4 linked regions of the Pelodiscus sinensis genome follow. The main gene of each other region encodes a partner of the protein of the gene in region 4 in a complex. Links are inferred from orthologs where the notes say so. Each region holds a gene or a part of one and is shown on either strand. Other genes may lie near its edges.

Region 1 (7,722 bases), on a different chromosome or scaffold from region 4:
AGGGGGCCGTGTGAGGTGTCAAATAAAAGATTGTGTCCTACTGATTCTATATATGCTGCTCGTGTACTTGTGAGACGTCTGTATGTGGAGTTATGAATATGGGGCAGACTCCAGCTTGTCTTCAATTCTGCTCCTGATCCCAGATGCAGCCTTGCGAGGGACGGAGAGCCAGGAAGGATTGCCGACCTGTCCTGACATAGGATGTATGCCAGAGACATCCTTGCTACGCAAGATAGCAGTGTGTAACATCTCTGCTGAGAGCCTGCATCAAGAACTTGGTGATTGGTGCATGTAATGTATTCTCCTTAACAACCCTACTCTCAAACTTTTCTTTCTTTTATTAATAAACCTTTCGATTTTAGATTCTAAAGAATTGGCCCAGTGTGATTTTGTGGGTAAGATCAAAAGTGTAAACTGACCAGGGATCTGTGGCTGGTTTCTTGGGACTGGGAGAACCCGTTCGGGGTAGGTGCGATTGGGTTCCATAACCCCTCACCAGTGTGTAGGCCCAGGGCTGATTGTGGCACAGGGAGAGCTGGGGTGTCTGAGGGGTTTTGCTCGTGAGGCTTCCTGCTGGCTGGATGGCAGCTGAAGCACTCAGTGTGACTGGTTTGTGACCTGTTAGGGAAAGGTCTCCAGTCTGGGGCTGTGAGCAGCCCTGGTTTTGAACAATTCACCCTGAGCAGATGCCCTCAGCGGTGCCCAGACCCGGCCCGTCACACCTGCGTAAAAGCAAACAGCACCACAGGCCACAAACAAATGTGCCATGTGTTGAGTAGCCCTGGTGTAGTTGTTAACATTAACAGATAAACCCAAGCTTCTCAGATAATCATTTAAACAACTATATGCTAGCATCCCTTAGTTACTACCAGTGGATACACACATGCCTCAACGCACAAAACTAAATTTGTTCTGCACATGGATGGAAAAAATTAGAGGGAACACACACTGACCCACCAGTGAGTTCACTGTTTAGGCTGTAAACAGCTGACATCAGGAAAGGCAACTCAACTGAGATTACAGGAAAACATCATTCATTTGAGCACGGCACAGTTTCAGGTCTTCTGACAACCGTGGCCAGTGACCACCTAAAAGGAGCCTGATTTCAGAGGGCAGGTGATCAAGTACTTTCTAAAAGTCAGGGCCTGTCTCAACCTGCACCCCAAAAAGTGGAGGCAGCCAAAATCACAAGGCACTTTCAAAAAATCCTGCCCTTTTATACTCTGCTTCCTCTTATCACAGCGGGCACCCGGGTGCTACTGTGCACGCCAAAGGCGGGTGCATTTTCGTGGCACTTCTGGAGAGCGTAAAGCCCTTGGGATTTTGGGGGCAAACAGCAATTGAGAACTTCAATGGAAGCCACGGCTGCTGCCCCCTGTTACAACATTTACACAGGGAGGGATGTTAAATGGGGAAACCAACCATCTTCGAGGACTGTGAAAGAACACTGTAGTGCTGCCTTGTGACTAGGGAGGTTACATTTAGATTAACTGGCTAATCAAATAGTTGATGCCATTTGCATCGACTATTCGATTAGTCGATAAGTCTCTGCCTTTGAAGTGTAGCAGCAGCCCCCAGGACTGTTGCTACATTTTGAAGGCGAAAGCGCTGCGGGGAGCACGGGGCCATGCTGAGAGGTGATTGTCCAGAGCTGGTTTGGGGCCAGGACAGACCCAGTTTAGGGGGGAGAGGAAGGCAGAGTGGCTGGCATCTGAACCATCTCAGTCACCTCACTGCCTCTGGTGATGGCACAAGCCTGGAGCCGCCCTGACACCTGGGTGTCACCCCACCCTGAGATGCCATTTGGGTGGCACCCCATCACTGGAGCACCACTGTACCCCATGCTGTGCCAGCCCCCCCTTTCCGCAACGCCATCCACAACTGCCCCATCTCCAACCCCAGGTCATCACCGCCCCAATACCCCCCCTTCCAGCCCCCTAAATCCACACCAACCCCCCCCCCACGGCACTTCCCATGCCCCACTGCTCCAACCCCCCCGCCCTGCCCCCTAAGTCCGCCCCATGCCCCCTAACTATGCCCCACACCCCCTCTAACCCGCCACCCTACCCCCTCACCTGGCCACACCCCCCCTCCAGCCCCGACTCCGCCCCACACCCCCCCTCCAGCCCCGACTCCGCCCCACACCCCCCTCCAGCTCCCGCGCCCTGCCCCCTCCCTCCGCCCCACATCCCCCTCCAGCCCCCTCGCCCTGCCCCCTCCCTCCGCCCCACACCCCCCTCCAGCCCCCTCGCCCTGCCCCCTAACTCCGCCCCACACCCCCCTCCAGCCCCCTCGCCCTGCCCCCTCACTCCGCCACACATCCCCCTCCAGCCCCCTCGCCCTGCCCCCTCCCTCCGCCCCACACCCCCCTCCAGCCCCCTCGCCCTGCCCCCTAACTCCACCCCACACCCCCCTCCAGCCCCCTCGCCCTGCCCCCTCCCTCCGCCCCACACCCCCCTCCAGCCCCCTCGCCCTGCCCCCTCCCTCCGCCCCACACCCCCCTCCAGCCCCCTCGCCCTGCCCCCTCCCTCCGCCCCACACCCCCCTCCAGCCCCCTCGCCCTGCCCCCTCACTCCGCCACACATCCCCCTCCAGCCCCCTCGCCCTGCCCCCTCCCTCCGCCCCACACCCCCCTCCAGCCCCCTCGCCCTGCCCCCTCCCTCCGCCCCACACCCCCCTCCAGCCCCCTCCCTCCGCCCCACACCCCCCTCCCGCCCCCTCCCTCCGCCCCACACCCCCCTCCAGCCCCCTCGCCCTGCCCCCTAACTCCGCCCCACACCCCCCTCCAGCCCCCTCGCCCTGCCCCCTCCCTCCGCCCCACACCCCCCTCCAGCCCCCTCGCCCTGCCCCGCGCTCACCTGCCCGTAGGGGTAGCCCGCCATGGCGCTCTGACCAGACTCTGCTTCCGCCCCGCCCGCGCGCTGAGCGTATCGCCCCGCCCACCGGATTCACTGATTGGTTGCCGGTCTCCTAGGCGAGCGTCGACTGGCTGCTGCTGGATGTCAGTCAGGATGCTCCGCCCAGAGGGAGGTCATGTGACTAGGGGAGCGTGGGAGGAGCTCCTAAAGGGCCTGCCGGGAGTGCGCCCGTAGGCCCCCCCCCCCCCGCCTCTACGACAAGCCCCGCCCCTCGGCCCCAAGCCCCGCCCCTGTGCCCATCTTCCTGCCCCGAACCCCGCCCCTTCATCCCACCCAACCCCGCCCCCTGCCTCTCTACAGCTACAAGCCCCGCCCCTGGCTCTGACCCAAACCCTGCCCCATCAACCCCCCCTCCCTCTCCTCCGCCCCCCCTTCCTAGTGCCCTTCTCCCCCTGCCTCTGAACCCAGATCCCATCCCAGGCCCCTACGCCCCCGCCCTGGCCTCAAACCCACCCGCTGCCCTGCCTCTGGCCCCATGGCCTGGCCCCTCGTCCCCACTCCTGTCTGGACCCACACCCTGCCCTATGCCCGCACCCTGTCCTGCCCGGCCCAGGCCTTGCCCCCATAACGATAACCCTTCCTTCTTTCTGAGCAAGGGGCTCGTGCGGGGATGGAGGGGCGGGGGGCAAGGATAGCTCTCGACGGGAGGCCTTCTCCTCTCGCTGCGTTCCCTCCTCCCCTGCTCACCCGGCCCTGGCTGCTCTTACACCCTCTGGCAGCATCCATTCTCCTCTTCCCTCTCTCAAGCCCTGTCCCCTTCACCCCCAACTCCGCCCCGTCTCTTCCCTCCCCCTGCTTCTGACCCAAATTCACCCCTTCAGCCCTAAACCCCGCCCCTGTGCCCGTCTTCCCGCCTCTGATCCAAACTTCTCTTGGTCGTTCTGCAGCTGGGCAGAGCTCCTTAGTGAATCATTCCAGTCGCAAGCTGGGGAGAAGACTAAGGCCGGAGAGCCAGTGTACTGCAGGGAACAAACCCTCCATTGGCCCCACGCAGAGACTGGAGGATCTGAGGGGTCAGATCCATTTCTAGCATCTGCGCTCCTTAGGCTTGACCTTGAAGCTGCTGCCCTCCCTGCCCCCTGCAAGAGGGAGTGTTTGGGCCTTGGTACTGTGGTGCAGTCTCAGTGCTGGTTGTAGCAGGCTGCCAGCTCTCTGCAAACTGCAACGCATTCGGCTTTGATGAAGTCACTTGCTGGCCCTCACCCCCTGCTCTCTGATAGAGTCCTAACTCCCGGCAGCATTCACTGCTCGGAGAGAGCTAGAGAAAAGCGTGAGCTTCCACCCGACACCCTGCTAGTCCAGCCATGCCAAAGGGCGCCTTTGCTTCCACTGGTTGTTAAGAAATGGTGAGTGCCTATGGAAACGTGCCCAAATGCAGACGCGTAAGCAGGTGCTGCCCAGGGCAGGCTGCAGTGGCAACCAAGGGAAGTACAAGGAGAGTTAATTGGCAACTCTGCCCTCCCCTGTTTGAAGTGGCATGCGGTGCCAATTTACACCCTGTTCGTCAAGCGCGTTAATGGCACGGAGACAGCATCTCGCTGTCATGGGGGGAGTGAGCAGCCGACATTCGGAAGGCAGCGTCTGCGGGAGCCATGCTGGGTTCAATTTTAAATACTGCGCCTCAGGAAATTACTCCTCTTACGGCTAACGAGAATAATGGGAATTCTGCTGGGCTCCGGGCTGCTCATTTACTCAAGCACATCAATACTTAACAGCCGTGGGTTTTCTTCACCCCACCTTCTGGAGCAGTAAATGTGCAGACTTTCCACTGAGGGCTGCAGTCTGGCTGACGGAGCTCCCAAGACCCACTCTGTGTACGTGCAGGCTACCCAATTCATATTCTGAATTAGCAGCTCAATGGATGGATGCAGCTGAGCCGCGGTTTGGGCTGCTCTCAGGGATCAATATTAACAACAGCAAGGACCGACTGTAACCAACTCTAGAGCGATCTTATTTCCCTATGCTCAATATGGGACACCTGGAAAAACTACTTGTCTTCAAGTGAGTTTAATGGCCATCAATCAAAACTCTGCAGTACAAACCTTCCAATTAACAGCAGTTGACCTGAGTGGCTGGAGTCTTTTTATTGATCTTCTTTTAAAGATTTGCACCGGAAGAGACAACACAAACACACGCTCCCATACGCCTCTCTCACACCCATCGGACCCAGGGCTCTCCACCCTCTGTCTTATCCCACCCTTTCTTTCCAGGAGAGGATAGTGCCTGTGATGGGTTTGCATAGTCAGCACTTTACATCCCTACTGACAATTGTATCGTTCTGTGAAGGTTTATGGCCCTAGAAGAGCAGTGGCAAATCTCTACAGCGCCATAATAAATGCAGGCCAGATCCAGTTGCCAATGCTAAATCAATAGGTTTACCGGAGGAGGCAGGACTGGTTAGCTTTCTAGATGGGTTTGCGTGGTCCAAAGATGTAAAACACCACCAAGCCCGGCAGGTTAAGCAATCCGTCTGTGGGCGTGAAAGGAAGGGAACTGTGGTTCTTTGAGATGGTTGTCCCCGTGGGTGCACCCCCTGAGGTGTCTGTGCACCCCGGCACCTCTAGTCGAGATTTATGGTAGCCACGCCCTAGGTAGGCTGCATACACAGGACAGCCGGCATGCGCCGCTCGGGGCTGCTATCCTGCAGGCACAGCCAACCATCCTCCCGGTTCCTTCTCTACACAGAGGGGAGGAGGGACGGTCGTGGAACACCCACGGGGAAACCATCTCGAAGCACCTCCGTTGCTGCCCAGGTAAGTAATCTTCCCTTCTTCTTCCCTGGGGGTGCTCCGGCTTAGGGGACTATGGAGCAGCGGCCCAGTGCGGAGGAAGGGGCGGCGGAGTTGGTGAGTAAGCTGTGGATAACACTGTTTGGCCCAATGGTGTGTCGGAGGCTGATGGAGTCTCCGCTGCATAGTGTTTGGCGCAGGCGTGGGCAGGTGCCCGAGTAGCTGCCTTACAACAGCTGATTACGGGGGTGCCATGGAGGAAAGCAGTAGATGGGGCTACAGCCCTGGTGGAGAGTGTGCGCAGGGATATGCGAAGGTGCTGGTCCAGCGGCAGATGAGGTATGGCCCACGGGCCGAATCCGGCCCACCGAGCCGTTTGATCCGGCCCACGCCTGCCCTGGCAGCAGGGAGCAGGGCTGCTCAAAGCGGCTAGCTGCTTCCTATGGCTCCTTGAGGTGCGGGGAGAGAGGGAGAGGCTTCAGCGTGCTCCCCTCCCCCCCAGCAAAATCTTTCATCTATTGGCTAGAAACTGGCCAATGACAGCTGAGAGATTTTGCAGGGGGCAGGGAGAGTTCAGCTCTCATTGGCTGGTTTCTGGCCAACAGGAGCTGATAGATTTTTCTGGGGATGGGGGCAGTGGGGAAAGCCTTTCCCTCCCGCCTCCCCTTAGCAGGGAGAGCCATGTACACAGCCGGGCTGCTGGCCGGGGGCTGCTTAGGAAAGCGCCTTCCGGCTAGAATGTGCCTCTGGCACTCTACCGCCTCCTCCCCCCAACTCCTGCCCAGACCATGCACCCCTTCCCCAGGCTAGAATCCTCTCCTGCACCCATATCCCTTCCTGGATCCTGTGCCCCAGATCACAACCCCCTCCATCATCCAAACTCCCAGACCCCACAGCCTCTCCTGGACCCTAGTCCCCTACCCTGAGCTCCCTTCTGCACCCAGCATCTGTCCCACCCCCGCATCCCCTCCGTGGAAAAGGGCGGCCCATGACCACTTACCTAATATCTTGGAGTGGGTCCCCATCAAAAATTCTCGTGGACCCCTGGTAAGGGGCAGACAATTTGGTAGAATTCCAGTCCTAAGGATGACTGGCAAAAGAGCTAAAATAAATGCAAACAAAGCTTGGGCAGGAATGTTTTTATTATCTCTGTTTGCTCACCAGATTCACCCTGCTTCAGGGAGGAAAACATCCCTTCCTCGCACAGAGCTGCGAAGTGGTGACGGACCACTCCGACGGTGGATTTTAATAGCTGGAAACGGGTCGAGCGCTTAGCAATCCAGTCATGGTTTTTAGGTTAGACACTTGTTTTTCCCCGGAACATAAAGGCTTTGAGTTAAAGGCCAGCAAGACCGCCGAGTGTTCTGCTTCATGGCTATGAGAAGATGCAGAGGCCTCCTGAAAATGTGTCTTGTTGAGCCAACTTGCTTGGTCTTATTTTTCCCCGTAATGACACTGTGCTGAGGGCCAAGACTTTATGCAAGAACTCTCTCCACCGCCGGAGAGACATCGGTACCTGGACAAGGAGGCGCTGACAGCGCACCTGACCCTGGCACGTTACACACCAAAGGAGCAGCAGAGGAAAAGGAGAGGCCCGGGTGGGCAGGGGAAGAATTGACGCAGGCATGGGAAATGGGGATATGTCATTTCACACCCGGGGCGGAGTAGTGCCTGAAGTTCCCCCCACGTAACAGCTGAGTCTGTGCAGCGGCACGACCGGTAAGAACGGTCCCTTCACCGCCCGCTCTTCCAGCCCCAGCGCTGGTGATGACAAGGTGCTGAACGACTACGAATGAACTGAAAAGATAAGCCAGAGGAGACACATGGGGCTCCAGAGCCGGTCAGGGCGATGCTACACGAAGACCCGGTCTGGAAAGGTATTTTGGCTGGTCACAGCAGACGGTGCCCAATGCCCTTTACACACACAAGCAGAGACACGCACACGCACACACACGCTGACACGTCAACCCCACTGGAAATCGAGAGGAAACAAATATTAACAGCAATAAAAAACAAAATCATTCACGACCAGTCGCGAGGCCCGAGCTTTGGTCATTCCCAATGGAGTCCTTGGT
Region 2 (7,051 bases), on a different chromosome or scaffold from region 4:
GGCGCCCGCTCCCAGCCGGCCCAGGGCAGGGAATGGGGCGGGGGGGGGGGGCCTTTCCCCTCCAGGGGGCACCCGCCCCCAGCTGGCCCAGGGCAAGGCCTGGCTGGGGGGTGGGGGCAGGTAATGGGGCAGGGGGGCCTTTCTCCTCCAGGGGGCGCCCGCTCCCAGCCGGCCCAGGGCAAGGCCTGGCTGGGGGGCGGGGGCAGGTAATGGGGCGGGGGGCCTTTCCCCTCCAGGGGGCACTCGCCCCCAGCTGGCCCAGGGGCAGGAGTTTGGGAGAATTAAGGTGGGTGCAGTAGGGGAGGAAAGGAGGGGAAGGATCAGAGAGAAGGTGCTGGGGGGCTCAAGGGGGAACAGCTCCCAGAAGGTCTGGGCCCTGGGGCCTCCTTCCAGCCCCCCCCCCCCCCACACACACACCTTGGCGGCCCCGAGACTGACAGAAGAGATGGTGAGGACGCTGCTGGCCTGGCTCAGGCTGCTCCTGGGGCGCTCCCGGTCGGCCATGGCTCCTGACCGGCCCGGCCCACGCCTGGAACACAAGAGGGGCTGAGGAAGTCAGGGAAGCTCGCAGCGCCGGGAGAGGGGGTCCCTGCTGTGGGGAAGGTCACATCACCAGGGCACTGCTGCGGGGAAGCTCACAGCACTTGGGAGAGCTGGCTGGGGCCGCCGCAGCAGGGAAGCTTCCCGCAGTTGGGGCACTGTCGAAGGGAAGCTCGCAGCGCCAGGCAGCTGGGAGGCACTGCTGCGGGAAAGCTCGCAGCGCTTGGGATCCCTGGTTGGGGGCACTGCTGCGGGGAAGCTCGCAGCGCTTGGGATCCCTGGTTGGGGGCACTGCTGCGGGGAAGCTCGCAGCGCTTGGGATCCCTGGTTGGGGGCACTGCTGCGGGGAAGCTCGCAGCGCCAGGGATCCCTGGTTGGGGGCACTGCTGCGGGGAAGCTCGCAGCGCCAGGCAGGCTGGCATCTCCCCTGACCCGGGCAGGGCCCAGGGTGGTGCGTGGGCGAGAGAACAAGGCAAGACCTGAGCAGGCGACCCCAGATTCCCGGAGCCGGGGTGGGGGGCGGGAGGCTGAATGGAGCCATTCATGCCCCTGGCCTGGGCACTGCGGGGTGGGGGGAGCTCTGGGGAGGGGCATGTGTTGGGTGGTGGGAGCAGCCGCTAGTAAGGCCCCATGGCAAAGCTGCGAGCTTCCCCCCAGCAGTGCCGCAAGCCAGGGAAGTTCCTGGGGGTGGGGGAAGTTCCAGGGGGCCCATCCCCCCCACCACCTGCATCCCCCGGGACCCTCAGAACCGAGACACACACCCACTATCGCCCTCCCCGGACCCTCCAACACCCTGGCACAGCCCTGCCCCCACTGTATCCCCCCACACCCTGGCACAGCCCTGCCCCCACTGTGTCCCCCCACACCCTGGCACAGCCCTGCCCCCACTGTGTCCCCCCACACCCTGGCACAGCCCTGCCCCCACTGTATCCCCCCACACCCTGGCACAGCCCTGCCCCCACTGTATCCCCCCACACCCTGGCACAGCCCTGCCCCCACTGTGTCCCCCCCACACCCTGGCACAGCCCTGCCCCCACTGTGTCCCCCCACACCCTGGCACAGCCCTGCCCCCACTGTATCCCCCCACACCCGGCCCCCCCATTATAATCCACCCCCCCATTCTCCCTGCCCCCCCCTTACTGCAGCTCAAGCAAGCGGTGAAGTCACCGGATCCTGGGACGGGAGGGGGAGAGGCCGGAGGGGGACCCGCCGCACAGAGCCGCTTTATCTGCTCCCGGCTCCCCCGGCCGCGGCGCCGGCTGAGACAGGGGCCAGCTGCCTGCGGGGGCGCAGGGAGCCAAGAATTCCTGATCCGACACGGCTCGGCCCCACCCCTGGTCAGAGCCCCGGCCGGCCTGGAGTTAACTCGTTCCCCGGCTGGGCCACTGCTGCGGGGAAGCTCGCAGCACCGGATCTGGCTGGGGCACTGCTGCTGGGAAGCTTGCAGCACAGGAGCTGCTGGCTGGGGCACTGCTGAGGGGAAGCTCGCAGCATCAGAGCCTTAGCTGGGGCACTGTTGCTGGGAGGCTCGCAGCACTGCAGCCCCTGGCCAGGGCATTGCTGGGGAGATGCTCGCAGCACTGCAGCCCCTGGCCAGGGCACTGCTGGGGAGAAGCTCGCAGCACTGCAGCCCCAGGCCAGGGCACTGCTGGGGAGAAGCTCGCAGCACTGCAGCCCCAGGCCAGGGCACTGCTGGGGAGAAGCTCGCAGCACTGCAGCCCCTGGCCAGGGCACTGCTGGGGAGAAGCTCGCAGCACTGCAGCCCCAGGCCAGGGCACTGCTGGGGAGAAGCTCGCAGCACTGCAGTCCCTGGCCAGGGCACTGCTGGGGAGAAGCTCGCAGCGCCAGGGCCCGGCAGGCCCGAGGTATTTAGCTGGAATTCAGAGCAGGACAAAACTCCCTGGTCCGCTCCCTGCCCACGGCAGCTGTGTCCGCCCCCCGCCCCTCCCCCACAGCCCAGAGCGTCCCGCCCGCCCCCTCCCCTTAGCTCAGGGCCCCGGCGGGGGGGGGGGGCATATTCCTCCACCTCCTCCCAGTGTGGGGTTCCCCCCTCGGGACAGACCAGCCCCCGTCATATTCCCCATCCCCTCTGAGCCCCCCTTGCCTGCCCCCTGCCAGCTGGTGCCCGGGGCGAGCGGGGCATGAGCCCCCCAAAGGAATCTGGGCCACTGACCCGGGCGGGGGCAGACCCCCCCCATTGCGGCCACCTGCTCTACACCCCCCCCCCTCGCCCCCCGCCGGCTCTGGAATGACTGGACTGCCACGCGCGGGGCAGCGCGCGGGGCTGGAAGGACGGGCCTTACCTGGTTTCCGGGGGGGCACGCGGGGGTCCGGGCTGTTTGGGGGGGCAGGGTGATCTCTACCCGTCTCCTGCCCTCGACTCCTCTCCTGCCCCTTCTCTGTCCCCACCTCCTGCTCTCCTGCCCCTCCCCTCCTGCCCCTTCTCTGCCCCCCACTCCTCTCCTGCCCCTTCTCTGTCCCCACCTCCTGCCCCTTCTCTGCCCCCCACTCCTCTCCTGCCCCTTCTCTGCCCCCACCTCCTGCCCCTTCTCTGCCCCCCACTCCTCTCCTGCCCCTTCTCTGCCCCCACCTCCTGCCCCTTCTCTGCCCCCCACTCCTCTCCTGCCCCTTCTCTGTCCCCACCTCCTGCCCCTTCTCTGCCCCCCACTCCTGTCCTGCCCCTTCTCTGTCCCCACCTTCTGCTCTCCTGCCCCTCCCCTCCTGCCCCCTACCCCTCCTCTGCCCCCACCTCCTGCTCTCCTGCCCTCCTGCCCCCCACTCCTCTCCTGCCCCTCCTCTGCCCCCACCTCCTGCTCTCCTGCCCCCCACTCCTCTCCTGCCCCTCCTCTGCCCCCCAACTCTCTGGCTCCCTCTGCCTGCTGCTCCTTCAGCCTCCTCCTCTCTCGCTCCACCGCCCTTTCTCCCGACTTTCTTCCACCCGTCCGTTCCCCTCCTCACCCCTCCATCATCCCCTGCACCCCCTAGCTGTCTGCCTGCACCCCTGTATCTATGCCTTGCACCCCTCTATCCGTCCATCCCCCGGCCCCTCCACCCCTGTATCTATCGAACTATCTCTCTCCGCCTAGCGGTCTGTACACACCGCCTCTGCCTGCCTCTCCCCCCGACCCGAGTGACCGCCCAGCTGTCCAGCGCCCTCCCCGGAGGAGCTTGGGACAAAGAGATTTTCTCCTCTGTCCACTCCCCTCCCACCCCAGGGCCGGGCGGGGACAGAGAGCAGGGGGCCGGGAGTGCCGGGTTCTCGCCTAGCTCTGGGAGGGAAGAGGGAGCTAGTGGTTAGAGGGGGGCGGGGAGCCAGGACTCCTGGCTCTGGGGGAGGAGTGGATTTTGGGGGGGGGGAGACAGAGAGGTGCCTGGGCGAAGGGGGATTTGCTGGGGCGGGGAGGGAGAAGGTGCCTCGGAGGGTCGCCCCTGCTCCCTCCCATCGCAGCTCGTGTCTATCACCCCCCGCCCCGACACGCATACATAGCCTGAGGTTCTGGCGCCCCCCGTGGCCGGAGGCCCTCGGGACGAGGGGCCCTGCCCCTGGGGGTGCAGCATGTCGGCCCACCCCCGTACGATGCAGGTGGGGAAGGGGCTTCCCAAGAGAAGTGAGGCTCCATATGGGGGACCCCCTGAGGGACTGTAGGAGGGTCATGAGCCCCTTTTCACAAATGGGGAAACTGAGGCACGGAGTGGCGACAAGACTTGCAGAGAGCCCTGAACGGCCCCCTCCCCTCCCCGCTGTCACCACTGGGCACCACTGCCCACCCAGCGCAGCTCACTACTGCCCCTGCTGGAGTTTTTGACAGGACAGAAAAATAAAACCGAAAAGTGAAAGTGAAAAGGAGCGAAACTGCCCTGGGAGGAAAACCCAGCGGCAGGAGTGGACGGGGATCCCCAGACACGCCCCCTCCCCCAACGGGCCTGGTTTGGGACCCCCATATCTAGACAGGATCCAGGAACGCTGTCTCCCAGCCCCCCCTGCTCTAACCATTAGACCCCACAGCCAGGGAGAGAACCCAGGAGTCCTGGCTCAGTCTCTCTCTCACACGAACCACTAGACTCCACTCCTCTCCCTGCCTAGTCTCACGTTTAGTGGCGGGTGTGTTGTTGTGGGTCACTGGAGCACTGCATCGTGCCTGTTGTGTTGGGTGCCACACGCTGTGTTGCTGGAGGCTGTTGTGTTGCAGCGTGTGGTTGCGTGGCATGGTGGCAGTCCCCGGGCTCGAGGTGACCTTGGCCTGCTGAGTTTGTTGGGGGCTGCGCTTTGTGTACTGCTGGGGTTTGTTGTGTGATGGTGTTAAGAGTGTCTGCTGGGGCTCTGTGCTGAGTTTTGCCAAGCTGTGGTGTTCTCTGTGTGTGCGTGTGTTGGGTTTGTGTTGAGTTGGCAAGCGGCCTGTATTCAATGTTCTGAGTGGGCCCTCAGGGGCTGAATTGTCGTGTTGTGATTGCTCTGCCTGTGTTGTGTAGTTAGGCTTTTATGCTGTATGTGTTAGATTGTGACTAAGTTGTGTATTTGCTCTGTTGTGTGGGACTGGGTTGCGATGTAATTGTTGTCTTGCACTGTGTTGTGTATGTACCACATTATATACCATAATGCGTGATGTGTACGTGCTGCGTTGGGGACTGCTGTGTATTTTTATTGGTGTGTGAGTTGTGCGGTTCTCAGCTCTATTACTTACATGCTATGCTGTGAACCAGTGTGTCCTAGGCTGTGTTGTGTACGTGTTGCATTGCACTTCTGGGTACATGCTGGGTTGTGCGAGGTTGTGTTACTGGACACGTTTTGAGTTGTGTGTATTGTATTGCTGGATATGTGCTGGAGTGCGTGTGTTGTGTTACTGGATATGTGTTAGGCTGTGTGTGTGGAGTTGGCCTAAGTACGTGCTGCATGGTTGTGTGTTGGATTCTGCTGGGCAGTGTGTGTTGTGTTGGGCACGGGCTGGAAGATGTGTGTTGTGTTGTGCTGTGCAGTGGGCATGTTGCGTTGCTGGGCTCTCTGTGTTGTGCTGGGGTGTGTGTGTTGTGCTGGGCACGTGCTGGAAGGTGTGTGTTGTGTTGTGCTGGGCGGTGTGCGTGTTGTGTTGCTGGCCTCTGTGTGTTGTGTTGTGCTGGGCGATTGCGTGTTGTGTTGCTGGGTTCCGTGTGTTGTGCTGGGGTGTGTGTGTTGTGTTGGGCACGTGCTGGAAGGTGTGTGTTGTGTAGCTGGGCTCTGTGTGTTGTGTTGTGCTGGGGGGTGTGCGTGTTGTGTTGCTGGGCTCTGTGTGTTGTGTTGTGCTGTGGTGTGTGTGTTGTGTTGGGCACGTGCTGGAAGATGTGTGTTGTGTAGCTGGGCTCTGTGTGTTGTGTTGTGGGTGTGTGTTGTGTTGCTGGGCTCTGTGTGTTGTGTTGTGCTGGGCGATTGCGTGTTGTGTTGCTGGGCTCTGTGTGTTGTGTTGTGCTGTGGTGTGTGTGTTGTGTTGGGCACGTGCTGGAAGATGTGTGTTGTGTTGTGGGTGTGTGTGTGTTGTGTAGCTGGGCTCTGTGTATTGTGTTGTGCTGGGCGATTGCGTGTTGTGTAGCTGGGCTCTGTGTGTTGTGCTGGGCGATTGCGTGTTGTGTTGCTGGGCTCTGTGTGTTGCGGTGTGTGTGTGTTGTGTTGCTAGGCTCCGTGTGTTGGGGTGTGTGTGTTGTGTTGCTGGGCTCTGTGTGTTGGGGTGTGTGTGTGTTGTGTTGCTGGGCTCTGTGTGTTGGGGTGTGTGTGTTGTGTTGCTGGGCTCTGTGTGTTGGGGTGTGTGTGTGTTGTGTTGCTGGGCTCTGTGTGTTGGGGTGTGTGTGTTGTGTTGCTGGGCTCTGTGTGTTGTGTTGGGGGGGTGTTGTGTTGGGGTGTGTGTGTTGTGTTGCTGGGCTCTGTGTGTTGGGGTGTGTGTTGTGTTGCTGGGCTCTGTGTGTTGGGGTGTGTGTGTGTTGTGTAGCTGGGCTCTGTGTGTTGTGTTGGGGGGGTGTTGTGTTGGGGTGTGTGTGTTGTGTTGCTGGGCTCTGTGTGTTGGGGTGTGTGTGTGTTGTGTAGCTGGGCTCTGTGTGTTGTGTTGGGGGGGTGTTGTGTTGGGGTGTGTGTGTTGTGTTGCTGGGCTCTGTGTGTTGGGGTGTGTGTGTGTTGTGTTGCTGGGCTCTGTGTGTTGTGTTGGGGGGGTGTTGTGTTGGGGTGTGTGTGTTGTGTTGCTGGGCTCTGTGTGTTGTGTTGGGGGGGTGTTGTGTTGGGGTGTGTGTGTTGTGTAGCTGGGCTCTGTGTGTTGTGTTGGGGGGGTGTTGTGTTGGGGTGTGTGTGTTGTGTTGCTGGGCTCTGTATGTTGGGGTGTGTGTGTGTTGTGTTGCTGGGCTCTGTGTGTTGTGTTGGGGGGTGTTGTGTTGGGGTGTGTGTGTTGTGTTGCTGGGCTCTGTGTGTTGTGTTGTGCTGGGGGGGGTGTTGCCTGCCTACGTGCCGGCTCCGTGGTGCTGTCGCCCCGCCTCCCCTGACGTCACACTGACGTCA
Region 3 (7,790 bases), on a different chromosome or scaffold from region 4:
GACATAACACTAGCAACATCAACAATTCAAAACTCAGAACAATGCATCAGAATTGGAGAAAGTGAAAAGAGAAAACAGTAGCCAAAAAAGGTGGAAATACTAAATACAGGTCCCAGTCTTGCAAACAAATATAGCTTCATGAAGAGTCCATTGAAATGAACCAATCAAATTACACACGTGCCTAAATGTTTATAGGTTTTGGAGAGAGTGATAGTTTTTAAGATTTTACTATCATGCAAATAATTATGAGAGAGAAAAATTGTCATTCATTAACATGCCCTTTTTCAGTTAAAAATCCTTTGTGAACTTTTTACTGTGTTTGGTTGCAAAAAAGGACATTTATTTTAAAATCGCAAAACTTAAAAAAAATACTATAAACAGATGTTAGGTTCTATTTGGCATTTGGAGGCCTTGATGTCAATATATACTTAAAAGTGTTACTTTTTAAAGGAAGATAATTAGATAAATTAGATAGTTGTAATCCATTCTTTAAACAACCCAAAAAAGGGAAAACTAAAACAATGCTAACAAGAAGCATTTTGAGGGGTGAAAAAATATCAAGCATTCTCAGCACTTATGAAAGCAGAGCTCCACATGAACATTCTTCACCCACGAACCGCATTTTATATGCTTAGTTACAAGAACTTTCAAAAAATAAAAAGCAAAATAATACTTATTCTAGTCATTGTTTAACCCTTCTTAGTTTACCATCATCTACATACGTAAAGAGATTTTGCATGGATCCTATTAGCCAAATTTAAAAGACTGCCAGAATTTAGATTTAATAAGAAAAGAAGTTTGCTGTAAAACAGATAAACATTAACAATGACAAAAATGGTGTATGATAATCCACTATAGTACACAAGTTATCAGCTATTCTTTTGCTATACCGCCCTCCAAATGTTCTGATAATATGAGGTTTATGCTGTGAACAAGAGTATTATTAACAATCAATAATGTCTGTTGGAGATCACCAGCCACACACCACTTAAAACAGGGGTGGTGAACCTCCAGCCTTTGGGCCACATGAGGTGCATCAGGGTTAGCCACTGGAAGGTTGCCAGATGCTTTGTTTACCTGAGCATCCACAGTCATGAAGCCCGGCAGCTCCCAGTGGCAGCAGTTCACTATTCCTTGCCAATGCGAACAGCAGGAACAGCCGCCACTGGGAGTGGGCCAGGGGGCTCTATGCCTGCGGACACTCAGGTAAACGAAGCATCTGGCAGTCCACCAGCACCTAACCCTAACAAACCATGTACTGGATACCCACCCTGACTTAAAACTTTCTAGTCTTTTACTTCACAGTACACTTTTTTTTCCTTCAACATAAATAATTATTGTTGACTAGAAGTAGAGTTTAAGAGGGAAGCTATCCAGCTGAATCAAATACCTACAGATAACTTCCAACAATTTAAAGAAGTATTAAAGTTTTCAACTTCATTGGTAAGAGCTTTGGCTAAGCAGGTCTTCCCTGATATTATGTGCTGGTGAACAGATGTGAACAGGTATGTCCAGTTTATTCATGAAAGCAACCTATTATAATTGTTTGCCACTGGCTAGCTGGGTCAGGTGTAACAAAAAGTTAAGATAAATACTAAAGGCTAGTGACTCAATAGAGCATTTCCTTTTTATTATATACATATTATATACACACACACACACACACACTTTTGCAGGAAATCACTAAAAATGACTGAAGTTTCCACACATCTTGTAATACTGGAAACCATTAACAGCAGTCTTCACATTCATTTGTTCTAAGCTTCAACTGAAGAAACTGTCAAAGCACAGCAGTTTTACAGCAGTGTAAATTAATAATCTGTCTTATTTGCTCAATAACTAAAGTGACTGGCAATCTCAGAGTTGGATATATCCTAGCAGTCCTATGAAAAGTTACACTGTCACCTGACGTTTTACCATCTGACCAACAATACCTGCAAAATAAAATCTCCCATATGCAGGAAAACTAGCTTAGAGATAGAGTTATAAGACTCCTTTTTTTGTTTATGTGCATTTGTAGCTTCTTGTCTGAAAGCCTTTAATTGGAAATGGCATTAAATATATTTTCGGAACATATGACTATAATAAACACACAGCTTCTGAGGGGGAAGAATTACCACCAGTATGGGTTCCTCCACATGCTTCATGCTGTGGAGGGTCCCCACTCGCTGTAATGCACCCTCCCCAGTACCGATCCACAGTAAGTGCCCGAGCTGTTCCCTCACCGTTCCCAGTGTCTGTAAACCATCCCCCCAAAACCGCGGTCAGTGCCCAAACTGCCTCCCCTTCACCCAGCCGCCTGCCAGTGCCCGCGCCGGCGACGCCACCCCCAGTGCCGGTCCCAGACCCTAGCAAGGGCCCGCGCCGCCGCCCCCCGCGCCGGTGCTTCCTCCCCCGCTCGGCCGCGGTGACAGGTTTCATTGTGCTGGTAACAGATGGGGGCACGGAGCGTGTCCCCCGCCCGCCAGCCCCCAGCCCAACCCCGTGCCCGGAGTTTCTAGCCCTGCTCCCCAGCCCGCCTCCCGCGGGCAGCCGGGTGACAGACCGGGCGGCCGCGGGGCCTGCGGGCGGACGGAGGCCGGGGCCTGGCGCGCAGCCGGTGGCCGGGGACTCACGGGGAAGGCTCGGATCCGCATCTTGGTGTCCTTCCGGCTGCCCGTCCCCTTGCTCAGGTTCGACATCTTCGGACCCGGCTCGAGCGGAGCCTGCTGCGGGGTGGGGGGGGGGGGGGACTGCGGGGAGACCCCGGGCGGGGGCCCCAGGCGACCTTCACTCCGAGCGGCGGCCCCGGGGGCGGCGGGGCGGGGAGGAGAGAGGCGGCGACGGGAGGTTCCGGGCGGCGGCGGCGCAGGCCCCTGTCTCCGGCGGCGGCGGCGTTTCCTTCACCCTCCTCCGCCGCGATGGCGGACAAACATCGCTCAGTGCGCAGGGCCAAGCGCCCCCCCACCCCACAGACAGATCCGGCCGCGGCGGCAGGAGGGGCGCGGGGAGGAGCTCGGCGGGGAGGGCGGGCGAGGGGGTGGGGGCCCCCCCGCTGCTTTGCTCTCGCGAGACTTCGCTCGGAGCTGTCACCGGCTGCAAAGGGGCGGGGGGAGGCAAAGGCAGGAAGAGAAAGCGCGCTGGGGCAAAGGCAGCCGCTGATTGGCTGAGCGCAGCGCAGTCGGGTGGGGTGAACGCAGAGGGGGTCCCACGGCTGGCCTGGGGGAAAGTGGTGGCTTTAGCAGCAGTAGCTGCTGTGGGGCCTCGGGGGCGTGGTCTCCATGGTACCTGTGCAGAGCAGGGCTAAAGTCCAATTAAGTTACACAACTTCAGCCACCTCAACTGCCCAGCTTAAGTGGAAATAGCTTAACTGGGCTTTGGCGCTGTCCCCACCGCAGGAGTGGAAGGAAGAGCTCTCATCCCTCCACTTCCTTACTCCTGCTGACTGAGGGGTACAGCCCTCGCTATAAGACGGCCTCCAGCCCGCCATTATTTCGAAATAAAGGCTTGTAACGTAGCTGTGCGCTTTGTTATTTCGGAATAATGTCAGTTATTTCAAAGTAACACTGTTGGGTAGACGTAGCTTGGGACTATCCGCACTGCACTCTGGGCCTAGTGCTACTTCCACTCATTGCAGGCCCAGCTAGAACTAGAGCCCCACATGTGGACAACATGCCCAGACCTTAGGATGGTGTTGTCTAGGCTAGCCACCTGCCAGCTCTTTCCCTTTTATTTCATGCCAATAGGTGTTTTTCTAAAGTCACAGCTCCTGGACTCAAGTGACTATGAAAGACTCACAACTCTTCTTTTTAAAAAAGGACTGGGAAAAGGTTGAGAATGTGACCAAGGCTCTGTCACCATGGAGCCTTTAAATAAAGAAATCAGAATAAGCACTGGTCTATATAGCTATCCTCAATGGTAATAGTGACTCAGTTGTTAGCATAAATTAGGTAGGTGCCAGCATTCACAAAGCTTTTAGCCATCAGGTTGCTAGACCTGTGCTGAGATGGTTATTCATATGCTGATAATTTGGTAATAATAGCTGAACACCCAATGGTAGCAGTGATGGGCAAACTGAAGGAAACAAAGTCAAATGTAGACGCAGCCTTAAACATAGGCCCATAACTCCTTTCAAATCTATGTGGAGAGAGCAAAAGCAAACAGTCTCTTTAAAAGATAGGCCAAGTAAAAAACTGCACAGACATATTGTCCCTTTTCCATTATCAACCTGAAGTTTCCCAGCTGTTAATTTTGGCTCACTGAGTCATGGCACTCATGGGTGTTGTACTCCTTCCGAGACTCATAGTCATGTTGAAATGCAGTTATTGTTTTCTCTTTTTAAAATTTAGTAATCACAATATATGCTTGAGAAATGAGGATGCCACCTGAGGCAATCCCTGTGTGAGAGTGAGGCTAAATATAGGTCACTCTCAAATTAGGACAGTTTATATAAAGTATCAAATGTTGTAAATATATTTTGCAAGTCAAAGGCAGAGTCAGTTGCTCAGCACATCTGACCTTCAGGTGGGTCACTCAAGAACAAAAACAAAAAGTTAATAGTCACTTGAAGTTTGGGCATAGGTGACTAGCCCAAGATCCCATATAGGAAGTCTGTGGCACAGACAGGAACAGAACTCCTGTTTCAGTTCCCAATCTGTACTTTACCTGCAACAGCATAATTCCTCTTTTCACAGGCATTTTTCAGTCTAGTACACTAAAATCATCACACTATTCGGCAATTTCCTAGAAATGCCTTTAAAATATTGGCACAAAGGATACACAGGCACAAATATCCTGCGAGCTAGTTTGTCTTCTGTAAGAGTTTCTTTACCTATTTGTTCCCTTCATCTTAAAAACAAATACTTAGCATTAAAACTAATGTAAGTGCCTCTTGTGTATGTTTTTAATCTCCTGTTCAGAATTACGTATACACTGAATGGAAAAATTATATAACAGGAGCACAGAAAAAAAAAGTTCTAATGATTTCAGCATGACTAAAGTACAGTGCCATTCAACCCTTCTGAAAAGTACAGTTTCTAGAATAAGAATGTCTAGTTCTTAAACCACTTTTCATTAACAGCCAAAAAGTCAAGTGGTAGGAGAGGCAAAGTTTTCCTTCTAACTTCCAATATGAAGAAATAGTGTCCATACATTTCAGTGTTATCTTCCTCATTTGAGACCTTAGTAAACCAACCAATTAAGTCTAAATTAAAAGTTTTGCTTCCAAGAAGTTCAAATGGTTGGGAGAAGGAGCCTACCTTAAATTGCAGTTTGGATTGCAGGTACCTGCATTACTGCTGATAGCTCTAGCATAGAGCCCGCAGTAAGCAGCCTGCAGACCATACACAGTTTGCTAGGGTTAGCCCATGTTGGGCCACCAGATGATTTACCTGTATATCTGCACATAAATAAAGCATCTGGTAATCTTCATCAGGCCTGTGGGATGCTTATTGCCCACCCCTGCTCTAGCACAACACGTTCGAATACTGTTTTTGTCCTTTTTTCATACTGTTCCCTTATGCATAGGGCTAGTGTTGCCAGAACCCCTCCCCCCCCCCCCCAAAAAAAAAACCCACGCCAGAAAAAAGGACCCTGAGAGTTGTTAAGCAAAAGAAAAAAAAATCCCCGGGGACCCTTTAAAAACCGCGTGGTGAGGCCTTTTGGCCCTAACAGGCTGCCGGTGGCCACCCGCCATCTTGCCTTTCTGTGCCAGGCCGGACAGCTCCCCTGCGGAATCCGGTAAGCACTAAGGTTGCCAGGTTGCTTCCGTATTGAGCCAGACAGAATGGGATTTTCGCCTCCTACCTGGGAAAAAAATCAGAATGTACTGGACATTTTCTGAATTTTTTTTACAAGACAGGAGGCAAAAATACTGGACTGTCCGGTTCAATACCGGACACCTGGCAACCCTACATAGTGCAACCTCACTATCCAAGCGTACCAAGCTCTCATAAATACTCTTTTTTTTTTTTGGAGGTCCACTCAGGTCAGTTAAATGGTTGATTATGTCACTAGAGGAGGGATCATCGTTTAAAAATTCAGTTACAACCATGTTGGCCCTCTTAAGAAACCTTCTTTAACTTTGCAATGTATGATCATTTGGTATCATAGAAGGCTCAATAATACTGCTGGTTCTTACTTAGTAAAATTATTACAAGTAGAGATTGTTGCTTGAGGTTCTTCCCATGCAGGTTTGCAGCCCAGTGGATCTCATATGAAACTTGCTGTTCACTCCTCTCTGCATTCCAGCTCTGTAACAGGTAGCTGCACAGAACTCCCCTATTAGAACTCTTCTAATTTCTGCTCCCATCTCTAGGAGGAATAAAGCAGTTTTGCTAATGTAGGGTCTTGTGCTCACACAAGAGATCATTGGAATTGCTCGTAAGAACTAGTGGTGTCCATCAAAGGGGAGATGAGTGTGTGAAGAAGGGCAGGATTTACTTATCAATGGCTAGTAGCCCTAACGCCCATCTTAGTCAATGCCAGCTATCTTATTTATACATCATCAAATATTCCTACAATAAAGAAAGTAATAACTGTTTTGGGAAAAATAGCCTTCCATAATGGGGCTCAAGTTTATCTACTGTGACTACTTTTATCCTCTGTTTGCCTCCAGTCCCCTTCACAGTTCACACTCGTGTGCAAGCTCTGAGTACAAAGGCCAGAAATTCCTGCTCTAGATACCCCTGGTTCACACTAGGGGATAAGTTCGAGTTAAGATACGCAATTTCAGCTACGGTAATTGCATAGCTTAAATTGAAGAATCTTAACTTGAATTTTGGCGCTATCCACACAGTGAGGGGTTGCATCAGAATAATAAAAAATCCGAGAAAGTGTATTAGCATGGTCTCATTCTATAACATTCAACATTTCATCTGAAGAAGTGTGTTGTACCCATGAAAGCTCATGATACCATCTACATGTTTTGTTAGTCTTTAAGGTGCTGCTAGACTATTCATTGTTTTTCAAGTTTTTACATTTGAAAGGAAACTCAGAAAGGCAGCTGCCTATGTGAGGGTGGAAGGAAGAGATTCTTATTTAAAAGAACAAAAAGTCATATTTCTTTTTAGTTACATAAATACAATTATCAGTCTGTGTTGATGCTTGTTTTAGGCTTTGCACAAATTTTGCGTGATATATTGAGGATATGTATAACACCATCAATACAACAAAACCTGTGTAATAGCCTGTATGCTCAAGAGAAGGGGAGGATGGGGAGTAGCTTGTTTTCAATGTATCACATTTAGAATCTCATCCTGCAGTCCTGACAAGCAAAAGTTCCTTTGAAGTCACTACATGATTAGTAAAAAATGACACAATGAGGTAAGTTTTATTTTGCTGTTTTATTGACCAATCCTCATCCCTCCATACTTCTCCCAACTCCAACAATTCTGTTGATATCAAGGGGGTCTGTTTGATCCAGTAAAAGCATAAAAATAAACATTCAGAAAACGTATTCAAAAGATTATTTCTAAACTTTTGTATTTAGAAACAGGTTAACGAAAATATTGTAATTCCAAATTATATTCCACCTAGTTCCTATCCTGAAAAGTTGTGAGGGTTTTTTACCTCCTTCTTGTATGACCTGAATCAACATCTCTGTACTTGTAATTTTAATTTCCTTGACCATTGCTTCATATGTCTTTTGGGAGGAATTAGATGACAGAAGATGCTGAAGTAACCTATATTTATATGATGTATCTGAACAATTCTACTTTTATCTTGCAATCACTTGCTTCCTTTACAAGGCTGTAAATAAAGAATATCAGAGCAACAGTCACCAAATAGCATTTCCTGCCCATGAAAAAAAA
Region 4 (7,433 bases):
GAGAATTACCAACGCCAGAAAAACCCCTCTGTTCTTTCGATTTACTTACTTTCGGAAGAACACAATTGTGGTGTGGACATACTCCCAGTTTGCTTCAGCCTGCTCTCTCCGTACCAACTAGGAAGCTACTAGGAAAAGAAAATTCTCTTCTTTGGCTGTGTCTAGACTACATCCCACTTTCAACAGAGGGATGTAAATTAGACACTCAAAATTGCAAATGAAGCGGGGATTTAAATATCCCGCGCTTCATTTTCGTAATCGCTTATGGCACTCTTTTGAACAAGTGCCATTTTGAAAGTAAATACAGGACTATGTAGCACTTTAAAGACTAACAAGATGGTTTATTAGATGATGAGCTTTCGTGGGCCAGACCCACTTCCTCAGATCAAATAGTGGAAGAAAATAGTCACAACCATATATACCAAAGGATACAATTAAAAAAAATGAACAAATATGAAAAGGACAAATCACATTTCAGAACAGAAGGGGGATGCGGGGGGGGGGGGGGAGGAAGAAGGTAAATGCCTGTGAGCTTCCCCAATTATCACCTCTAATACCATTAACTCACAGACATCTACCCTTCCCCACCTCTAATATCATTAACTCACAGGCATTTACCTTCCTTCCCCCCCCCCCCCCCCCGCATCCTCCTTCTGTTCTGTAATGTGATTTGTCCTTTTCATATGTGTTCATTTTTTTTAATTGTATCCTTTGGAATATATAGTTGTGACTATTTTCTTCCACTATTTGATCTGAGGAAGTGGGTCTGGCCCACGAAAGCTCATCATCTAATAAACCATCTTGTTAGTCTTTAAAGTGCTACATAGTCCTGTATTTTGTTTCAGCTACACCAGACTAACATGGCTACATTTCTATCACGATTTTGAAAGTAAAACCGCAGTCTATACCAAGGAGTACAGGATCTTTCGAAAAAGCCTGCCGTTTTTGAAAGAACTGCAACTAGACTGTTTTACTTTCGAACAAGCGCCATTTCGGAAGAGTGCCATGACACAATTATGCAAATGAAGCACAGGATATTTAAATCCCTGCTTCATTTGCAATTTCACAGTGTCTAATTAACATCCTTCTGTCGAAAGAGGGATGTAGTAGACACAGCCTTTGTGTAAGAAGAGGCATTAGAAATGTAACTTTTACAACCCCAGTTCCATGATCCATAGAATCATAGAGCTGGAAGAGACCTCAGTAGGTCATCAAGTCCAGCGCCCCGCCCAAGGCAGGACCAACCCCTTTCTGCCTCCCCTCATTTTTTTCTATTTACCACTGCATTAAGTTTGAAGCAAAGCACAGAAAACGACTGCTAGTTAACAATCTGAACCAAACAGTGAATTGCAGCACAGCCAAACATTATCTCCTTTCAACATTTTGCAAAAGGATGTGCAATTAGTGTAAATCACTAGCAAGTAGTCAGAAGAAGAGCCTGGTTCATGGACAGGGCACTAGCCCTGGAGCTCAATGCTCTGTTCTATTCCTGGTTCTGCCACGGACCAGCTGGACAACTTTGAGCCAAGTCCACTCTCCCCTCCCCACATTTCTCAGTCTTCACTGTGACAGGCTGCAAGCTATTAAGGGCTAGAATGGCCTCTGGTGGTTAGCGATGTAAAAGTTCAACAGTTACAATTATATATTTTAACCCATTGACTTTTTAAATAGCTATTTACTGCCAGTAGGGATGTACTCAGGACAAGGGGGTCTAAGCACTCCTGTAGTATTGAACTGGCAGACAAAGGCTTGTTGGATGCCACCAGGAGCATAGGGGATGCTCTACCAGCCAGGTGTGAAAGGAATGCACAGAATAAAAGCACTTTCCCCTCACTCCCGTCCAGGGAACAGGATGAAAAGCAAGCCATGTCCCATAGGGTTGCCAGATTGTTTCAACAAAAATACCAGACACACTTGACATTCCATCACAATCTACATTACACCTGATTTAGAAAATACCAGATATTTCTATTTTCTCAATTTGTTTCCCGAACAGAAAGCTCAAATACTGGACTCTCCGGTTCAAAACCGGACACCTGGCAACCCTAGTCCCAGAGCGCATGGCAGCTGCTACCCCCCATGTGCCCGAAATGCGCCCTTGCCCAATACCATGTCAATGTGGCTGAGATGAGCCCCCTCCAGGACCGCACAAGAGTGTTCTACTGGATGTACAAGTGGCTCTCGAGAGCCTACCTCGCTGGTGAACATGGCACAGAAGTAGTCGCTGCAGGCTGCCAGCACAATGCGGTGTGCGGCAAAGTCTTTCTGTTCAACACGCAGCGTCACGTCACAGAGCGTACTGCTCCTCCGCAGGGCGTTCATGGCGTTCAGGATGGACTTGGCGTGCGAGTTGGTCATGATGTCCTTGGGGGCCATGGCGGCCCTGTTCTCCCAGCACGGGATGGGGCAGGGGGACAGTCTCTGATCCCAGGCCCTGCTCCTCCAGAAGCGTGGGGGGGGGGGGGGAGGGTGTCACTGTGGCCACGGGCCCCGCTCCCCCGGCACGGGGGGGGGGGGGGGTCACTGAGGCCCCGGGCCCCGCTCCCCCGGCACGGGGGGGGTCACTGAGGCCCCGGGCCCCGCTCCCCCGGCACGGGGGGGGGGTCACTGAGGCCCCGCTCCCCCGGCACGGGGGGGTCACTGAGGCCCCGCTCCCCCGGCACGGGGGGGTCACTGAGGCCCCGGGCCCCGCTCCCCCGGCACGGGGGGGTCACTGAGGCCCCGCTCCCCCGGCACGGGGGGGGTCACTGAGGCCCCGGGCCCCGCTCCCCCGGCACGGGGGGGTCACTGAGGCCCCGCTCCCCCGGCACGGGGGGGTCACTGAGGCCCCGCTCCCCCGGCACGGGGGGGGGTCACTGAGGCCCCGCTCCCCCGGCACGGGGGGGGTCACTGAGGCCCCTGGCCCCGCTCGGGGGGGGGGGTCACCGCGGGTGGCGGGACACGGGCCGGGATCTGGTGGCAGGTGAGCGAGGCCCCGAGACCAGGGAAGGGGCGGGGCTAGAACGCACCACGTGGGCAGCTGCCAGCTCTGCGCACGCGCCCAGCCGTGGGGAGGCCTAGGGCTCAAAGGGCGCAGGAAAAGCACTTTTAACTCACGCATCCAATCACATCGGCCGGGGGGTACCAGCGACCAATCGCGGGGAAGGTCATCACAGCAGCCTGTCGCCCGCCCCCAGCGGAAATGCTTGTGCCCTGAATCACGTGGGACACAGCGGCGGTGCTGCCTTTGGCGGAAGTGGCGTCACACCCGAGGCTGTTTCCGGTGTTGCCAGCCGGAGCCGCCGCTGCTGCTGCCCGGGATGTAGGGCCGGTGAGTGCGGGCGGGAAGGGGCAGGCGCGCGGCGCGGCTGCGGGCGGGGGGCCGGGTCCCCTCCCGGCGGGCTCGCTGGTGCTGCGGGCCCGGGGCCCGCCTAGGCGGCCCGCCGCGGGCAGAGTCAAGGCGGCCAAGGTGATGCCGGGGCAGCTGCTGCGGAGCCCGCCGGCCTGGCGCTGGGCTCCGTTCCCAGCGGCGCCTCGGCTCCCGCGGCTCTGGCCAGAGCGCGCCGGGGGCCCCGCGGCCCGACCCCCGCTCAGCGCCCCTACGGCGGCCAGACATTGACAATACAGGGCACGAAAACAGCCGGAATCGCTCCGTCCGATTGTCCCTCTTGCCCAATATCCCGCCTGCGGATGATGACTAATGCAAGGTGCTTCCGAGGGTGTGAACGGCGCCGGCAATGATCAAGTGAGCGATCCCTGCTGGTCCACACCCAACATCTGGGAAACCGGCTAGTGCAGGGGTGTCCAAACTTTTTTCAACGAGGGCCAGATTTGATGAAGTGAACATGCGTGAGGGCCGACCATTTTGCCTGACATTCTTTGAACCATTAAAATTAAATGCAAATTAACTATTTTACGCAAAGTTTATTGCAAACGACATACTTTTCATTTCGTCACATGGATGACAAATCTAAACAGGTGTTAAATCACTCTGCCTTTCATATCTGAAGGCCAGATGAAAAAAAAATCCAGGAAGCTGAAATATATGTCAGGAACATTGTAAAGTACATTACATATTATTGGTAATAAAGGTTGTCTGTCAACTTTTAAGTTCAAAAAATATGAACAGGAACATAACACCAAGTATACATGTTGTGTCCAAATATATTTTTAACTGATTTAGACCAACGGACATTAACTGAGATTTTACAATGTATTCATCTCAATTGGAAAAAAAACTTGCCTGCACTAATGTGAAGGGTGAAACTGAGATCTGGACTGCAGCACATAGGCTAGGTCTGGTTCAAAGGCAGTGGTTTTGATGCGCAAAATGTCACGCAGGTGAGAGTCACTCAGTCTTGTCCTCACGCGGTTCTTGTTAAACTTCATAGCAGAGAATGTCTTCTCACACATATGTTGAGCCAAACAAGCTCAGCATTTTCTTAGCCAATGTTCGAATCTCTTGAACCCGGCTCTTATCCAGTTGGCGGTAAAAGTTCACAAGAGAGAGCTGTTTGTGATGACTGCGTAACTCGCTGTCACAATGCAGCTCAATGAGCTCGAGCTGCAGCTGATCTGGAGCATCATCGGGGTCAACCGAGAATGGAGAGGAGAAAAGGCTGATCTCCTTTTCAATAGCTGCAAAATCCTGAAAGCGCCGTTTAAACTCCCCAGCCAGAGATGCGATGTCTGCTGCATACCTGCTCGTTTGCGCACTGATATTGTCCTGTGGAAAACTGTTCATTATTTCCTGCAATGCTGAAAAATGTATGGTATTGGGCTGTGTTTGTGACAACTGCCTTATGAAAAGTTGCAGCTTTGTTCCAAAGGCTTTGAGGTGTGAATAAAGCTGGTTCACCGCTGCATCTTTCCCCTGAAGACTCGTGTTCAGTACATTCAGATGCTTTGTTGTGTCAACTAGAAACCCCAAATCAGCCAGCCAAATAGGATCGGATAGTTCTCGCATTGATTGTCCCTTTGTTTCCAAGAATTCTCCGATTTCCTTTCTGAGAGAGTAGAAACGCTGCAGTGCAGACCCCCGACTGAGCCATCTTACATCGTTGTGATATAAAACATCTTCGTATTCAGCCTGGATGTCCAGTAGAAACTGTTTAAACTGGCGGTGGCACAGGGCTTTAGAGCGAATAAAATTAATAGTCTTTAGCACCGGTTTCATAACATGATCATATTTGAGATGTTTAGCACAGAGAACTTGTTGATGAATGATACAATGGAGTTTAATAGCTCTGCCTCCTTCTTCGATCACCTTGTTACAGATTAGGGTTGATAATCCACTTCGTTCACCAGCCATGGCAGGTGCCCTATCAGTAATAATCCCAGTAACTTTGTTCCAAGGCAGTTTCATGTCATCTATGGCGGAACTAACAAACAAATAAATCTTTTCCTCTTGTTTGGTCCGTAAGGCTCTGGAGGTCAAGTAGCTCTTCAGTCACATTCATTTCATCGTCCACCCCTCTCATAAAAATCAGCAACTGAGCTGTGTCAGATAGGTCCGTGCTTTCATCACAGGCTATTGAAAAGAAGTCAAAATCCACTCCTTTGGACGTCAACTGTCTCTTAATATCTGATGAAATCTCTTCAGTTCTCCGTGCTACAGTGTTACGAGCCAGGCAAATGTTGGCAAACTCTTGCTTCTTCTCGGGACAGATATTCTCAACCATTTTCATAACGCATTCTTTGATAAAGTCACCCTCAGCAAAAGATTTGCAATTTTTAGCAATTAACGTTGCCACCTCATAGCTCGCCCTTGTGGCATTTTCATTTGACTCACGGGCTCTTGTGAAAAATCGCTGTTGTGACATTAAAACAGCTTTGAGTTGCTTCAACTTTTCACTGCGGTCGCGCCGTGTTAGCTTGTCGTATGTGCTATGTCTCGACTGGTAGTGTCTCTTGACATTAGATTCCTCATAAACAGCCACAGTCTCTTGGCATATCAGACAAACACAGTGATTCCGTATTTCAGTGAAGAAATATTCCACTTTCCACCTGTCCCTCACTGTCAACTTTCCTTCTCTTATTTACAGTCGCCATTTTTGAAATTGACCAGAAGGGGAAGGGATCATGTGAGCGCAGTGCCAGAGGTTTTGGTCTAAGTGTGTTCGTCCGAGCACTAATACACTGCCCAACAAGAATTCTCTTGCCTTTGTGGCTGTGTGTGGTGAAGAGTCTAAGGATGAGCTTGGGCGTGTTCGCAGCTCCACGTGCCTGAGCCCGCCAGGAAGCTGACAGCGCGCAGGGCCAATCACAGGTACTGAGACATTTCCCGATCTCTGCAGCTGCGGATCGGGAAAATGTCTCAGTACCTGTGATTAGCGCTGCGCGCTGTCAGCTTCCCGGCGGGTTCGGGTACGTGGAGCTGCGAACACGCCCGAGCTCATCCTTAGTCCTGAGCGGCGCTCGGGGCTTCGTTGGGGGCCATAAAAGATAGATATTGCCAAATTACCTGTGGGGCCGTATTAAACCGGAACACGGGCCGCAATTGGCCCGCGGGCCGGACTTTGGACATGCCTGGACTAGAGGCACCCAGTACACGATTGCCTCCCTGCCCGTCCTGGCTAATAGGCATGAATGGCACTATCATCCATAGATGTAGCTAGGTTTTTTTTAATTCTGTCATCATTTTAGCCTTCTCGACATCCTCTGGCAAAGGGTTCCACAGGCTGACTGAATTGTGCAAAGGAATAATTCATTGTGTGATCCCTTGTTCCTGTATGATGTAGGGATGTAAAATCCCAGTTTAAGTTTACCATTTAAATGGTATGTTTAACTGGGATCAGTAGCAGGAAGCTGCTCTCACCTGGCTGGATCTGCTGCTCCTGCCAGGCTAGGCTGCCAGTTAACTGGTTACCCTGAGAAGCATGCCAGTAAGGGTAAGGCTAATGTTTATCAGGTAACCCCTTACATCGCTAGTGTTTTGTGAAGGGGTAAATAACATTTCCTTATTTGCTTTCCCCACACCAGTCAAGGATGTATCATATCCAGTTTTAGTATTCCCTTTTCCAAGTTGAAATATCCTAGACTTTTTAATCTTGTAGAAGTGTTTACACCAGTGTTTCTCAACCTTTTTTTAATAAAGTACCCCTTTAAAAAAAATTATAAGTACCTCCAGTACCTACTGATTTCAGACACAGATTTTTTTTCTACCATTGCACATTTGTTTAAACAACTTAATTGTAGCCAGATGGATGATGAAATTTTTGGGTGTAAAAAGTATAAAAATAATAAAATGCTATAAAACTTAAAACAAATATTCAGTTTTGTAAATGTACCCCTCCCCCCAGACTTCTCTCAAGTACCTTAAGGGTACTCGTAGTACCATTGAGAAACACTGTTTTAGACCCTTAATCCTGCTAAATCAAATGCTGAGGGCGCCTTCGTCGACACCAGTACTCCTCAAATCATGAGGAGCAAGGGAAGCTGATAGGAGCACTTGC

The links.
Region 1: the proteins of KLHL12 (region 4) and PEF1 are in contact, whole or in part, in a crystal structure (PDB 8RBH), measured with the Homo sapiens proteins. The link is inferred for Pelodiscus sinensis from reciprocal best matches to the Homo sapiens genes KLHL12 and PEF1. Residues at the interface, in NP_067646.1 of Homo sapiens: Phe289, Gln293, Arg320, Tyr321, Leu371, Glu417, Tyr434, Ile439, Phe481, His486, Cys511, Tyr512, Tyr528, Leu533, Cys558; in NP_036524.1 of Homo sapiens: Gly15, Gln16, Ala17, Pro18, Gly19, Ala20, Pro21, Pro22.
Region 2: the proteins of KLHL12 (region 4) and PLEKHA4 are in contact, whole or in part, in a crystal structure (PDB 8OIO), measured with the Homo sapiens proteins. The link is inferred for Pelodiscus sinensis from reciprocal best matches to the Homo sapiens genes KLHL12 and PLEKHA4. Residues at the interface, in NP_067646.1 of Homo sapiens: Phe289, Arg320, Glu417, Tyr434, Ile439, Phe481, His486, Cys511, Tyr512, Tyr528, Leu533, Cys558; in NP_065955.2 of Homo sapiens: Pro177, Gly178, Gly179, Pro180.
Region 3: KLHL12 (region 4) and CUL3 share a complex: the UniProt entries of both Homo sapiens proteins name them as parts of the BCR(KLHL12) E3 ubiquitin ligase complex. The link is inferred for Pelodiscus sinensis from reciprocal best matches to the Homo sapiens genes KLHL12 and CUL3.

What each region holds. Positions count from the first base shown.
Region 1 is NC_134735.1:4,529,988-4,537,709, reverse strand, and holds the start of PEF1 (peflin), read right to left. Parts: upstream 3,011-7,722; 5' UTR 2,883-3,010; coding exon 2,859-2,882; intron 1-2,858. UniProt on the Homo sapiens protein: Calcium-binding protein that acts as an adapter that bridges unrelated proteins or stabilizes weak protein-protein complexes in response to calcium.
Region 2 is NW_027465977.1:49,423-56,473, reverse strand, and holds the start of PLEKHA4 (pleckstrin homology domain-containing family A member 4), read right to left. Parts: upstream 3,009-7,051; 5' UTR 2,844-3,008; intron 1,820-2,843; exon of another isoform or gene 1,681-1,819; intron 547-1,680; 5' UTR 505-546; coding exon 418-504; intron 1-417. UniProt on the Homo sapiens protein: Binds specifically to phosphatidylinositol 3-phosphate (PtdIns3P), but not to other phosphoinositides.
Region 3 is NC_134720.1:16,974,698-16,982,487, forward strand, and holds the start of CUL3 (cullin-3), read right to left. Parts: upstream 3,017-7,790; 5' UTR 2,682-3,016; coding exon 2,616-2,681; intron 1-2,615. UniProt on the Homo sapiens protein: Core component of multiple cullin-RING-based BCR (BTB-CUL3-RBX1) E3 ubiquitin-protein ligase complexes which mediate the ubiquitination and subsequent proteasomal degradation of target proteins.
Region 4 is NC_134737.1:16,710,051-16,717,483, forward strand, and holds the start of KLHL12 (kelch-like protein 12), read right to left. Parts: upstream 3,016-7,433; 5' UTR 2,377-3,015; coding exon 2,194-2,376; intron 1-2,193. UniProt on the Homo sapiens protein: Substrate-specific adapter of a BCR (BTB-CUL3-RBX1) E3 ubiquitin ligase complex that acts as a negative regulator of Wnt signaling pathway and ER-Golgi transport.